2 linked regions of the Drosophila melanogaster genome follow. Changing the gene in region 1 together with any one later gene gives a genetic interaction. Each region holds a gene or a part of one and is shown in the gene's direction. Other genes may lie near its edges. The genes, in order: Rab35 and sky.

Region 1 (6,565 bases):
GACGCCGGCTCAATGGACGACTCGGCCGAAGCCCCACGTCCAGGTCACCTAAATGGTGATCAGATTCAAGAGAAGCTATCACCCTCCCATTGGGATGATTTCGGCTCCTCCGACGATGATGCCGTCTTTCAGCGTGCGTTCGATACCAAAGTGCAGAGTCGCGTGGTGACCCTCTCCGATGATCAACCATCTACTTCTGCGGGGGCACGCGCTTTAGCCGATCGTGGAACTCGCACATTTGAATCACAGGGAACGCAAACAACATTTCTCTCAAGTGTAGTAACCTCGTTTCGCTCTGCTACTGCAACTGCGACATCATCCACATCCACATCCACATCCACATCCGCATCGACACTTGATAACCAAGAAAACACTGAGCCGTCCACATCGAATGGACGTCGTCCCTGGCGCCCTAGATACGTCTCGCCGCCTAGACACGTGTCGGATAGCGATGACGATAGTGATGAATATGATAGTGATGAATATGAGTCGAAGAGGCGCCAACTTACGCCCACTGCCGCTGCGCCGTCGAATGGCAGGCGTCTGTTGGGCTCCATCTCGCCGGAGCCGAGCACTCCTGCTCCACGTGTCTTACGTCGCCGCACTTTGGCCAACAGGCCTTCCTCACTCGCCAACATGGATATATCCTGTGTGGCCAATAGGACCCGCCACCGCTTGTCCAACCACATGGCCAGCCGCAAGGATTAGGAGAACAGATGACATTACAATAGATCACACTCGCACAAATCCATGTACACGGCAAGATCAATATGGATATATCCTGAGTGGGCAGGATACCCGCAGGGACTAGGAGAACAGATGACAACATCACGATACATAACACTTGCACATTCCATTAACCATCACATCGACTAGGTTGTGGACCAAATGCGTGCGTTTGGTTCGCACCCGTTATTCTCTATTTTCCGCCTTTTGTACATATAAAATTCCATTAAAATCCTGTTCTCCTAGCGGTATTCGCTAATAAGATGCATTTACCATTTATTTGCTTTGTTAAGTAAGCTAAGTAAGTGCTCCTTTCCACACGTATAAATAACTTGTATACATATTTACTTTAAGTAGCTGTAGACATTATTTTCCCCATCTGACTTTCTTTTCAGCAGCTCGCAGTGCCTACATTATTTCAATTACTCTAAGCATTACATTTTTTTGACTAGCGATCTAAGAATCCCTGAATCCAGTATCTGTATCAAGAATCCCAGTATCTGAACGCTAAAATGAAATAAATAAAATTAAAATATTTGAAAAATAAGTTAGAATGATTTTATTTGGATGTTGAAAAAACTTCTCAAAAGTTGTAAACTACGAATACTCACTTTCATTAAGAGTATAGCGTTTTGCTTCTAGTTAATACCCGCTACAAATCGGTATGAAAGTATATAATATTTAGTTTTTTTTTTGGTATTAATATAATATGGGCTTTATAAGTGATTATTTGAAGATTTTTTAAAAATCGCGCCATTCATAATAAATAAGTGCTGGATATGGCCAAAAGTTTATGCACAGGTGGCAACGTTAGCAACCCGCTAAACGGCAACACTTGCGATAATGTTCTCTAAATATATCGATACATATTGATATTAAAAAAAATTGCCAGTATTAATTTATTAAACTAATTTAATTTTTTGAGTGGGCACATTGCATATTTAGTTACAGAAAAATTCGACTTTATGCTCCGGCTAAATGAATCGATGTTTGTGGGGTACTATCTATCCTAAACTATCGATAGCATAAACATCGCATTTGGTTCCGTCTCTAGTGTGGGTGCGTTAGCAATAGTTTATCCAGAATATGAATTAACCAGAATTAATCCGCAACGCCGACGCCCACAAATTCCCACAAATCGTCGTCCTTTCAGCGCTGCAAGAGCAACCCGGAAGCTGGAAAGTTCGAGACCGCCGAGAAGCCCAATATAAATTCAACAGTCAGCCAGAGCTTCACTCCTGTGTGTGTGTGCGTGCGTGCGTATGTGTTCGTGTGTTGTGTCTGTGCTACAGTGTTGGAGAGAGCGAGACGCACGATTGCGAGGGAGTCGAGCTTTGCGAAAATTTGCCAGCCTATATTGAAATATTTTCGGCACCAAATCGCCGTCTTATCCGCCAGCAAGCCATTGGATCTGATGGAAATGAGCCTGCCGCTCGATTTCTCTTCGCAAATCCGCTGTTAAAGCAAAAGCAACAATTGTACCAGTGGAGCCAAAAAAAGAGAAACACACCTACCTAATCAAAGGAAATTAAATAACAAGGCGGCGGCAACAACACTTACATAAATTAACTCGCAACGCAACAACACTAATAACTATAGCTTATCACACAGCAACAAAAACATCAGCAACAGCAGCAAAAACAACAACAACAACAGACCAGCAGCCAGAAAGAACAACAGCTTATCTCAGATATTCAGCCGGCTGCACCAGTGCGAGCGAGAGGGTCGTAGCTTGGGGCGAAAGAGAGGGCGCTTCCGAGAGAGTGCGAAAGAGAGAGAGAGAGAGAGTAAGCGCAGGGAGTGTGCTCCTGTGTGTGTGAGTGTGGGAGCAGGCAGCAGAAAAAAAGAAAACAAAAGTATATTTTGCATTGTTCGACGCGCCTAACTGTAAATATAAAAGCACTTGCAAAAACAAGGAAAAACACAGAAAAACAGCGAAAAAACGTCGAAAAATGGCACGCGGCTTCGATCATCTATTCAAGTTGCTAATAATCGGCGATAGCGGTGAGTTTCCCAGGCATTCCCGTTTCCCACAGACCAGGTGCTTAAAAATAGCATCGAGTTGAAAATAGCAGGTGTAAATTGCAATTTGTCCCCGTTTCCTGGCCAAAAACGCAGTTGTCTCCACCTCCCTTTCGCATTACTGCATCTGATTACCATTAATGTATGTTACATTTAAAATGCTAACGCCAACATGGCGTATGAGTAATGTTGTTTTCAGTTTCCATAATACTTTCAACATTCGTCAGCTTCTTGTTTCTATACTCAATGTTTTTGGCATACTCAACATGTGTTAGGTTGTACTAATTTTATATATTTAATCATAAATGCAAAAGCACTTTATATCAGTCCTGTCCTCCTCCTAACGTAGCTATCTACATATTCATTTGGGCGTATTTCGAGAAAGGTGGTCTGGCTCGGGCAAAACCAGGCTCATGACTAATGGTGACGCACTGGCAGGATATACAGCTTGATATGCGAGCAGACCAGCTGCGGCGGTAACCGGAGCAGGAGAACACTCCCCGCTCCACAGCAATGTCATATGCCGAATGGGCTTACTTGTGTGTAGTAACGATATCACATTTTTGTAATACGAATCCCATTCCATCTTTCCATCTGATCCCCTGCAGGCGTGGGCAAGTCGTCGCTGCTCATCCGGTTCTCGGACGACACATTCTCAGGCAGTTACATCACCACCATCGGCGTGGACTTTAAGATCCGCACCGTGGACATCGAGGGCATGCGCGTAAAGCTGCAGATCTGGGACACGGCCGGGCAGGAGCGCTTCCGGACAATCACCAGCACCTACTACCGCGGCACCCACGGCGTCATTGTCGTCTACGACGTCACGAACGGCGAATCCTTTGCGAACGTCCGCCGCTGGCTGGAGGAGATCCAGAATAACTGCGATGTGGTTAAAAAAGTATTAGGTGAGCCTATATCGTATTACGCACAGAATTGGTTGACCCGTACTGAGAAGTAGTTGTTGGCTATGCCAAGCGGAGCTTAATTAGTAGACAACTTACATTATCGATATAGACTCATGTTTCGATTCCTCAACAGTGGGCAACAAGAACGACGATCCGGACAGGAAGGTGGTCATTACCGAAGACGCGCAGCGGTTTGCGAAACAAATGGACATCGAGCTATTCGAGACATCTGCCAAAGACAACATAAACGTGGAGAACATGTTCTTGTCGATTACGCGACAGGTGCTCGATCACAAGCTGCGCACCTCCCCCAACGAGCAGCAGAAGGACACGCTCCATCTGAAGCCCAATCCCAAGGGCAGCAAGGGTGGGAAGTGCTGCAGGTGAAAGCGGCTCCGGCACGGGAGCTGGCATTGCAACTGGACCGACGGCGACGGCGGCGGCGGCGGCGGCGGCGGGACGGGAATTGGAACTGAAATTAGGACCAGGACCTGGATCAACTTCGGGGGCGGACGGAATCGTTGTGGGGGCGCGTAGTTTGTAGGGTTCTTGGCTTACGATTCGACACAGACACTCACTCACATAGACATAGCTAACACCACCAAACAACCAACAACAAGAAACCACACAAAGCAAACAACACGAGACAACTGAACAACACTCACACCCACTAGAGACAACAATTTTTTTTGTTTTGTTTTTTTTTTTCCTCCTCAGTTTTATTCGGAATAATGCCAGATAGCCGTAAATTAAAGTGTAAAAGTGTAAAGCGCAATTAAATGTATTTAGCAATTTATATACATATTAATATATACATACATAAACAAAATTGAAACAAATTGCATATTTATATACAAGAATATATTTATATTTCAAACGGAAAATTGTATTTACAATAACAAGAGCGACCGCAGGAAAAGGCACGAGGACGCAAACGCCTCGCTCGCTAGCTAAGCTACGAAACACATTTATAGAAATATATAAATATATATACATAGATATACATATGTGGGGAGATCAAATTATTGGCTTCCGATCGCGACTCTCCACTTTTAATACTCCCATAGTTTAAAATTTAAAAACGAAAGCTCTGATCTGCCGACTATCAATCGCGAAAGACACGTTTTGAATGAATCTGAAATTTTATTTGCTTGGAGTGATGCTTTTAAACATTTCGTTGCTCTCGGAAACTGCCTTACTTGTTAAGATTTCATTTGATATTATTGCCGCCATTCCGTGATTGATTTAACTGGATAAACTAAAGAACTTCAGGGACTGTTTCCAATTCTTTTGGATGTGCTTGCTTAAAATGAAAAACCTGAAACTGTCAGCCAATATGATTTCCAATGCAAATTTTCTGAAGAGAAATAGTTGTAGGTAATGTTTGTATCTATTCGAAAACCGGGGAACCAATACTCCAATTCTCTGATATTATATACATACATTACATATGTACCCTCAGAAAGAATAAAGATTGATCTTTGGAAAAACACGATTACTTGCGCTCGGACTGTAATTCAAAACCATGTTTTTAATCCATAGCTATGTTGAATATGTCCAAAATGTAGCCACTTTTCATTTAAGTCCTTAGGCATTGCTGATTTAAAATTAAATAAGATATGATTGGCAATCAACATTTTGTGGCATTCTTTTATGCCACAAATGCATTTAATACATCGCTACATTTGTATTGTATCTAAGTTAAAAACGCACCAAATCGCACTGCAAGCACGTTCGTTATTTTTGGTAAACTTTCCCGATTTTACAATTTTTGTTAGCTTCTAAAAGTAGTTGCATACTCTTCGGCGACTCTATGAAACGAGTGAATAACGTAGTAACGAAGCGCACTAGAATTTATATTTATATGTTCACAATGTACATATGGGTTCGCTTTGTGGTAACCATATTTATTCTGCTTAAAAAACCATTCGATTCATAGATTTATTTTAAATACCACAATAATCGATTTCGGTTCCAGTATATATTTATTTATATGTAAACCTTGAGCTATACCCAAAATTCAAAGACTATGTTATTGCGTTTGAATACCAAAATGAATTACCTAGTTGTGGTTTGGGCTGAAAAAAGCTTTCAGAAAGTGAGGCAAACTCATAGTTAAATACTATTCTCGAATATGAAACCTATATTTCATACCAACCAAAAGAAAACTATATATTTATATAAATGTATATATATATCTATATATATAGATGTATATATTTATCGATCAAAATAAAGAAGGCAATTTGATTTTCTAAAATGTTTGGTCTTTTGCATTTAGCCGTTAAGATTTTGGGTTGGATTTCGGTACTAAGACAATCAGTAATATAATCTTTATATCTTTAAAATGGAATTTTTTCCCTTCTGCAGTATTTGAAAACAATTTGTTTAACTTTTTTATGATGTATTCAGTTGTTTGTGACTTTACGGATCCCAGAAAAATAGCACATTGTTTATGATTATTATTTACTTGTATTATTTATTGTTTTTCAACGCATTTTTTATCGCTTCTGTTGGGGAGAGCACGAGGTTAGGGCAACGACTAGTACGGGAAGTGGGCAGATGCGGATTGGTGCGGATTGGGATGGGGATTGGCTGGGCGGATGGTGACTGGTTTGGCAGGCAGTGCGGCTCCGGGACTATACGACTCCCCATCCCGCCTCAGTGGTACTTGGCCACGGGAAAGGTGCGCGTCTGGCGACAGGACACCAGGGCGTCGCCCGACTGTCCCTGTGGACAGCGGCAGACAGCCAGGTGGGCCTTGGGCTCGCAGCTGGCTCCAGTGGCACACTTGCCGATGCAGGGATCGATGCACTGGTAGTTGATGCAGGCGCGATGGTCGGGGCACTCGTTGTTGCTCAGGCACTCACCCTGTGGACGAGGGTAAGTGGGTTAGTACAGTAGTTATG
Region 2 (5,223 bases), on another chromosome or scaffold:
CTAGAGAAATACCTGCAGTCCCTGGCGGTCGCCACCCATCCAGACAGGAAAATAGTTGAGCACTTGTTTGGATTGCTAGAACAGGAATCTATCAAAAAGCATTTAAAGCTGAGGGAAAGCGTTATCCAAACCGTGGCCACCTTGACCCGCCAAAGCGGACTAGATGTTGAAGATCCTTTGTTGAAGGAAGTGCGTTCTTATCTACTGCAAGGTCTCACCTCCAAGGAGCCTACCTTGTACATAAGGGCTCTGCAAAATCTCCAGGATCCTGCTACCATTGAAGCTCTGCTGGAGCACGCTCAAACTGGCGAGGCTCCCAATTTATCGGTGGCTGCCTTACAGGCTCTGAAAGCCTTTCCCCTAGGTAGCTTTAACTCTTCACATCGCTTGCAGTTCGAGAGCATATTCTACCAGCGAAAGCGTCGCTTTGATAGCTCCGCTCGCACTCTGGCTCTTGATATTATCCTGTCCCTCCGGCCAACTCAGGAGCAATTGGGCAACTTCTTGGATTACCTAGCCTCCAATGATCGCCAGTTTGAGATCAAAACATACGTGCTGCAGAAGCTAAGAATGCTGGCTGAGAAGTGCCCGCGATTTAGGGCTTTGTTCAAATCGGAGCTTGTCAAGCGGAGGCATGTAAACAACTACAATGTGCTGGGACAAAAGGGTGAGTACCTAATTTCCTAATGACACTGTTCAAACAATTATGAACTTTAATACTTACAGGTCTTACGACAGTCCTCACCCGTCAGCTTTCCCAGGCTCCAGCCTTCAACGAAACCCTGCTAAGTACCCAGGAAGTGTATCAGGGAATCCTGAAACGTGGCTCCGTGGAATTTCTGCTCCACGCAGGCCGTTCCCAAGCCAGCAGCTTTAAATTGGGCATCTACACTGCCGGCTTGGGCTCGCTGGTAGGCGATGGTGACTCCGGCGATGGAAATGATGCAATCCCGGCGGATGATGAGTTCAGCGAAGACGAAGCGGTCACCGCGGGCATGGAGATCAGTGTGCAGGGTGCTCAATTGCGACCCCTAGTATTCTTCAGCGGTCAGACCGAGCTAATGGGTCACGTGTGGGGAGGAAGTGCCTCGGACTCAACGCCCGCTTACCAGGCAACCACTTTGTCCCAGGATAACGAGCACTACATAATCCTGACCTCCGGGGCGACGCTCCACTGGCGAGTTCTGGGCGCCAGGAGTGTGGATCTCAATGGCAAGGTGGGATTCAGCCTGTGGAATCGAAATGCCCAGACGGAAATCCAGCAGAAGTAAGTGAAAAAGCCAAAGCATTTGATTGGAATGTTATTTAACTCACGATTAACTTTTGGCTTATAGCACTGGCAGCGCTGTTCTTGGTCATTTGGCCGTTGGCTTTACGTATGCGAAATTAGTGCAGGATTTCAGCATCACCCACGAACCAAAGTTGAGTCTGAATGCGGACTTGGACTTCTACAGCGGCATTAAATTGTGCATGCAACTCCAGCGACCTGAACAGCTTCTCAAGTAAGTTTGCTAGAACTATTTTAATGACTCACATGCTAATTGAAAGCCTCCTTCACAGACAAACCAACGTTCGTTCGGTTTTCCTGCAGTCTGTTGATCGTCCTTATGCCAAACATGTGCGCTCTACACTCTCCCACAAAACTGCCGGCTGCACTTTTGCCCTCAACCAAAAAAACAACGAAATGTGCAACCTCATTTTTAGGGACTTGTAGATTCTACTCAAGAGATTATTGGAGATTCCTTGCATAAAAACTATATTTCTATGTGAAAACTCAGAGATTAAGACTCGATATAGTTGTAAACTTAAACGAACAAAGACCATTTAATTTTCAAATGCAACAAGTTTTTAATATCTTTTGAGCAACTCGAAAATTACTGGAAAAGTGGAAATGTGCATTTTTTCTCGATTCACAATAGTCACACCTTAGATTTAAAAATCCCGCCCAAGTGCTGCGAAACGCGAAAGGGGACTTATCGAGCTATCGATTGCAAGAGCTACGCATTCCCATCCCTAAATTCCGCAGTACATTCAAACACTACTACGTTGTGCTTCTTCTTCAAACGCGGCATAAAAGAGGTGCACTCCACAAGCACGAAAAGAAAATAACTACTGCAAAAATATCGTCGAACGCACGAGTCATATTAAATAAAGGTTAATAGAAGCAGGCATCGGAAAAGCTTGATTCCGGAGAAGTGAAACAAATTAGGCCACCGAATGGTGCTCTTCTTCTTTTTGTCGGAATTAGAAGGCTCGTCGCACACACACAGTCGCAAACAAATGCGAAATCAAAAGCGTCATCCGATTGTCTAAAGTAAATACTTCTATTTGCAAGCTGAAAGGCGCGACAAATTAAATAGTTCAAACTTAATAAATCGATATTTGTGTCACCAATTTGCGCGTTTAAATCAAGTGCTAAGCAATGTACTAAAATTAACAATTCCCTTGCCTTTTAAACTCATACAAACACAATTGGAGCGAGAAAGAGATGGGAAAGAAGAAGAATTGTTGTTGTTGACGTGTTCTGTTTGTGCTCATGTGTGCGTGTTCGGGAATTTCTGTTGCGTGAAGTTGCAATACCAAAAAAACCACGTGTGAAATGTTCTGCAATTTTTGTAATTTATTCTGCTGAATTGTTATCACTTTTTAAGAAAACAATCTGTAAGAGGCGTTTGCCTTGGCATCTTATTGGCACAACATTTTAACGCAAATTACTACTCCGTACGAAAGCATTAAGAATCATAAATAAATAAAAAACGAGATCTGAAATCTGAAATATGTATATTGAAGAAAGATCTAGAATATCCAAAACCAGGGGCACAGATGGTGACTATTTTTGTGAACTGCATTGTGATAGGGGTACCTTTTTACCACACACACTTGCGCACTTGCTGCTCTCTCCCTATTCTCCCACTTTTTATAACGGTATCACGCACCCTGCTTATCGGCATTGTGAAAATTTTGTTTGGCTTTAAAGAAATTTCCATTCATAATAATTTTGTGTATTTCAAAAGTTGGTTTATTTGCAAAAATATGTATAAATTCATTTGCTAACATTAGTTTTTTACTTGTATGGTTTGGGTGATGCTCTCTCAAACTTCTTTAAGTCTCACTCGTCCGACATCCAACCGCACAGTGGGAAAGTTCTTAATCCTTTCTGCCATTATTTCAGTGCTTAAAACAGGATTTTTTGTGTGAAAAATCCGAATTCACTGATATAAATACACTAAATTGTTGTTATGTTATGTTTTAGTAAAGTTGGAATTAGCTTGATAAAATCATGATTTTATTATTCTTTAGTTTTTTAATAATGAGATTTTGTAAATTGTTCCTAAACAATAAACAATAATAACTAAAAAAAAAAAACAGTATTTCATGCATACCACTGCACATTAATCCCACTGTTCGTCAAACGTTGGAGAGCGAGCAACGACGAGAGGTTCGCAACCGAAGCAGCAAACGAAAGTCTATTTAAGCAACCCGCAAAAGGCGCTCTTTCGTATTGCCCGATAATTTTTCGACCGCGCTGCTTGTGTTTTCGGTTCCCGCTGAAACAAACATAAAAAAAAGAATATAAAAAATATATATAAAAAAAAATGGATGTAGGGCGAAAATAGTTAAACCACTTTAAATATACGAAATACGCGAATTTCGGAAACTAGAAAATCCATCTTTTAAGGTAGTTTATTTATCCATCTCGCTTTTTCACTCTCCTCTGTGTGCGTGCGTGAGTGTGTGTGTAAAGGCCAAATAGTGCCCTTCGCCTCCCCGGCCACGCCCCCTTGGGCAGAGTAATAAAATGGGAAAGAGAATATATATCTTGCTCCTTTAGAATTTACCTGTGAAAGTGAAAACGTGACAACACGATAAAACGGACGAAGCAAGCAAAACAAAAAACGAGTGCATAAAAACAACGAAGGAGGATAAGAAAAAGAACAAGTGCAGCAAATCAGAAAAAAGAGAACGGAACAAGAACACAGAAAAAAAGTAAAAATAACCAACGAAGAAGGGCAAGGAAAACAAGAACAAAAACATCAGATATTGACAGGTAATAGCAGTCACTCTCCCATCCCTTTTTTTATCGCTCTCTACCCAAGAGAATTTCGAATTTAGTTGCACTATCACCATTTCTATGATTCATTTGTTATTTTGATAATAAATTGCAATTCACGTGGACTAAAGGGTTCAATCATGATATGATTGTTCTTTGTGATTCATTGTGATCATACATTTTATTCAAATTTGTTTTTGCTGAGATCCAACAAAATTGTATAAGTCTTAAAATGCCGTTTTTTAACTTTCATGTGCTCTTTATACCTACATAACTGATTAGATAGACGTTATTTTTCGTTCAACCTTGCACAATTTATGACGGCAGCAAACCACGTTATTCCATGTTGATAGCGAGAAAGAAGTTCAACTTTTTAATGCTGTTTAGTTAGGCATTAAAAATGTTGTAAAAAGCGAGTTCCGTTTTGTTCTTAAATTTACGGTGGATTATGTTGGTCGTTGGCTTTTTTTTTGTCCCATATTTTATGTTTATAGCCTAAATATAAGTTTATTATAAGTTTAATATAAATTTATGGTATATGTAGTGATTTTATACTTTAGTTTGGAATTTATGTGGACTTATGCACAAGTTCAACAGCTACAAATGTGTAACTTCAAAAAACCCCTTCCGTATTTCCCCCAAATAAACATTTTATGTCTTATATCTTCCTAATCATGACTCATCAATAGATAAATATTTTTTGGGTTTGGCAATCTCCGATTGCAAAATAGACGACCTTTGGAGTTATTAATTATAACTCTGTTTGTACTTCAAACATTTGTTTAAGCGATAAATATTCCTCATTGGGTCATATAATTTGTTTAATCTATAACTATAAATACAGTCCTGCTGGCTGAGTTTCAACGAAAAGGCAATGCAATCAGCAAACATTTGCCAAAAATTAAATTTCTCTGCTTGGTTATCTTATCTGCGGGCCAGAGAGCCGCATAAAGGAACACTAAATCGGCAAAACATGAGCCAGGTACTTGCGCATAACTAACTATCTATCTAAATCCATTTGACTGGCAATGAACAAATTGTATTTGGGTAAACTGTCTGTCAGCTGGTCCCATCGAACCGTTCGCTCACTTGAGATGTCCGATACAAAACGACTTTTTAAAAGTGCCTCGCAAAATAAAAAAAAAGCAGTCGTGCAATATATAGATACAGAT

What was found.
Region 2: of Rab35 (region 1) and sky, changing one suppresses a phenotype caused by changing the other (phenotypic suppression), as found in Drosophila melanogaster (one study listed by BioGRID).

What each region holds. Positions count from the first base shown.
Region 1 is NC_004354.4:20,155,061-20,161,625, reverse strand, and holds Rab35 (Rab35), read left to right. Parts: upstream 1-1,753; 5' UTR 1,754-2,678; coding exon 2,679-2,730; intron 2,731-3,097; exon of another isoform or gene 3,098-3,268; coding exon of another isoform or gene 3,269-3,287; intron 3,288-3,356; coding exon 3,357-3,656; intron 3,657-3,789; coding exon 3,790-4,043; 3' UTR 4,044-5,860; downstream 5,861-6,565. Other genes in the region: Phf7 (PHD finger protein 7), read left to right, coding at 1-708; aspr (asperous), read right to left, coding at 6,318-6,527.
Region 2 is NT_033779.5:20,915,730-20,920,952, reverse strand, and holds the start of sky (skywalker), read left to right. Parts: upstream 1-2,021; 5' UTR 2,022-2,154; exon of another isoform or gene 2,155-2,314; intron 2,315-3,491; exon of another isoform or gene 3,492-3,810; 5' UTR 3,811-4,048; intron 4,049-5,223. Other genes in the region: Mtp (microsomal triacylglycerol transfer protein), read left to right, coding at 1-667, 727-1,267, 1,335-1,502, 1,561-1,714. UniProt on the Drosophila melanogaster protein: GTPase-activating protein (GAP) for Rab35 which regulates synaptic vesicle (SV) protein recycling and turnover at the neuromuscular junction boutons and possibly ventral nerve cord via endosomal trafficking.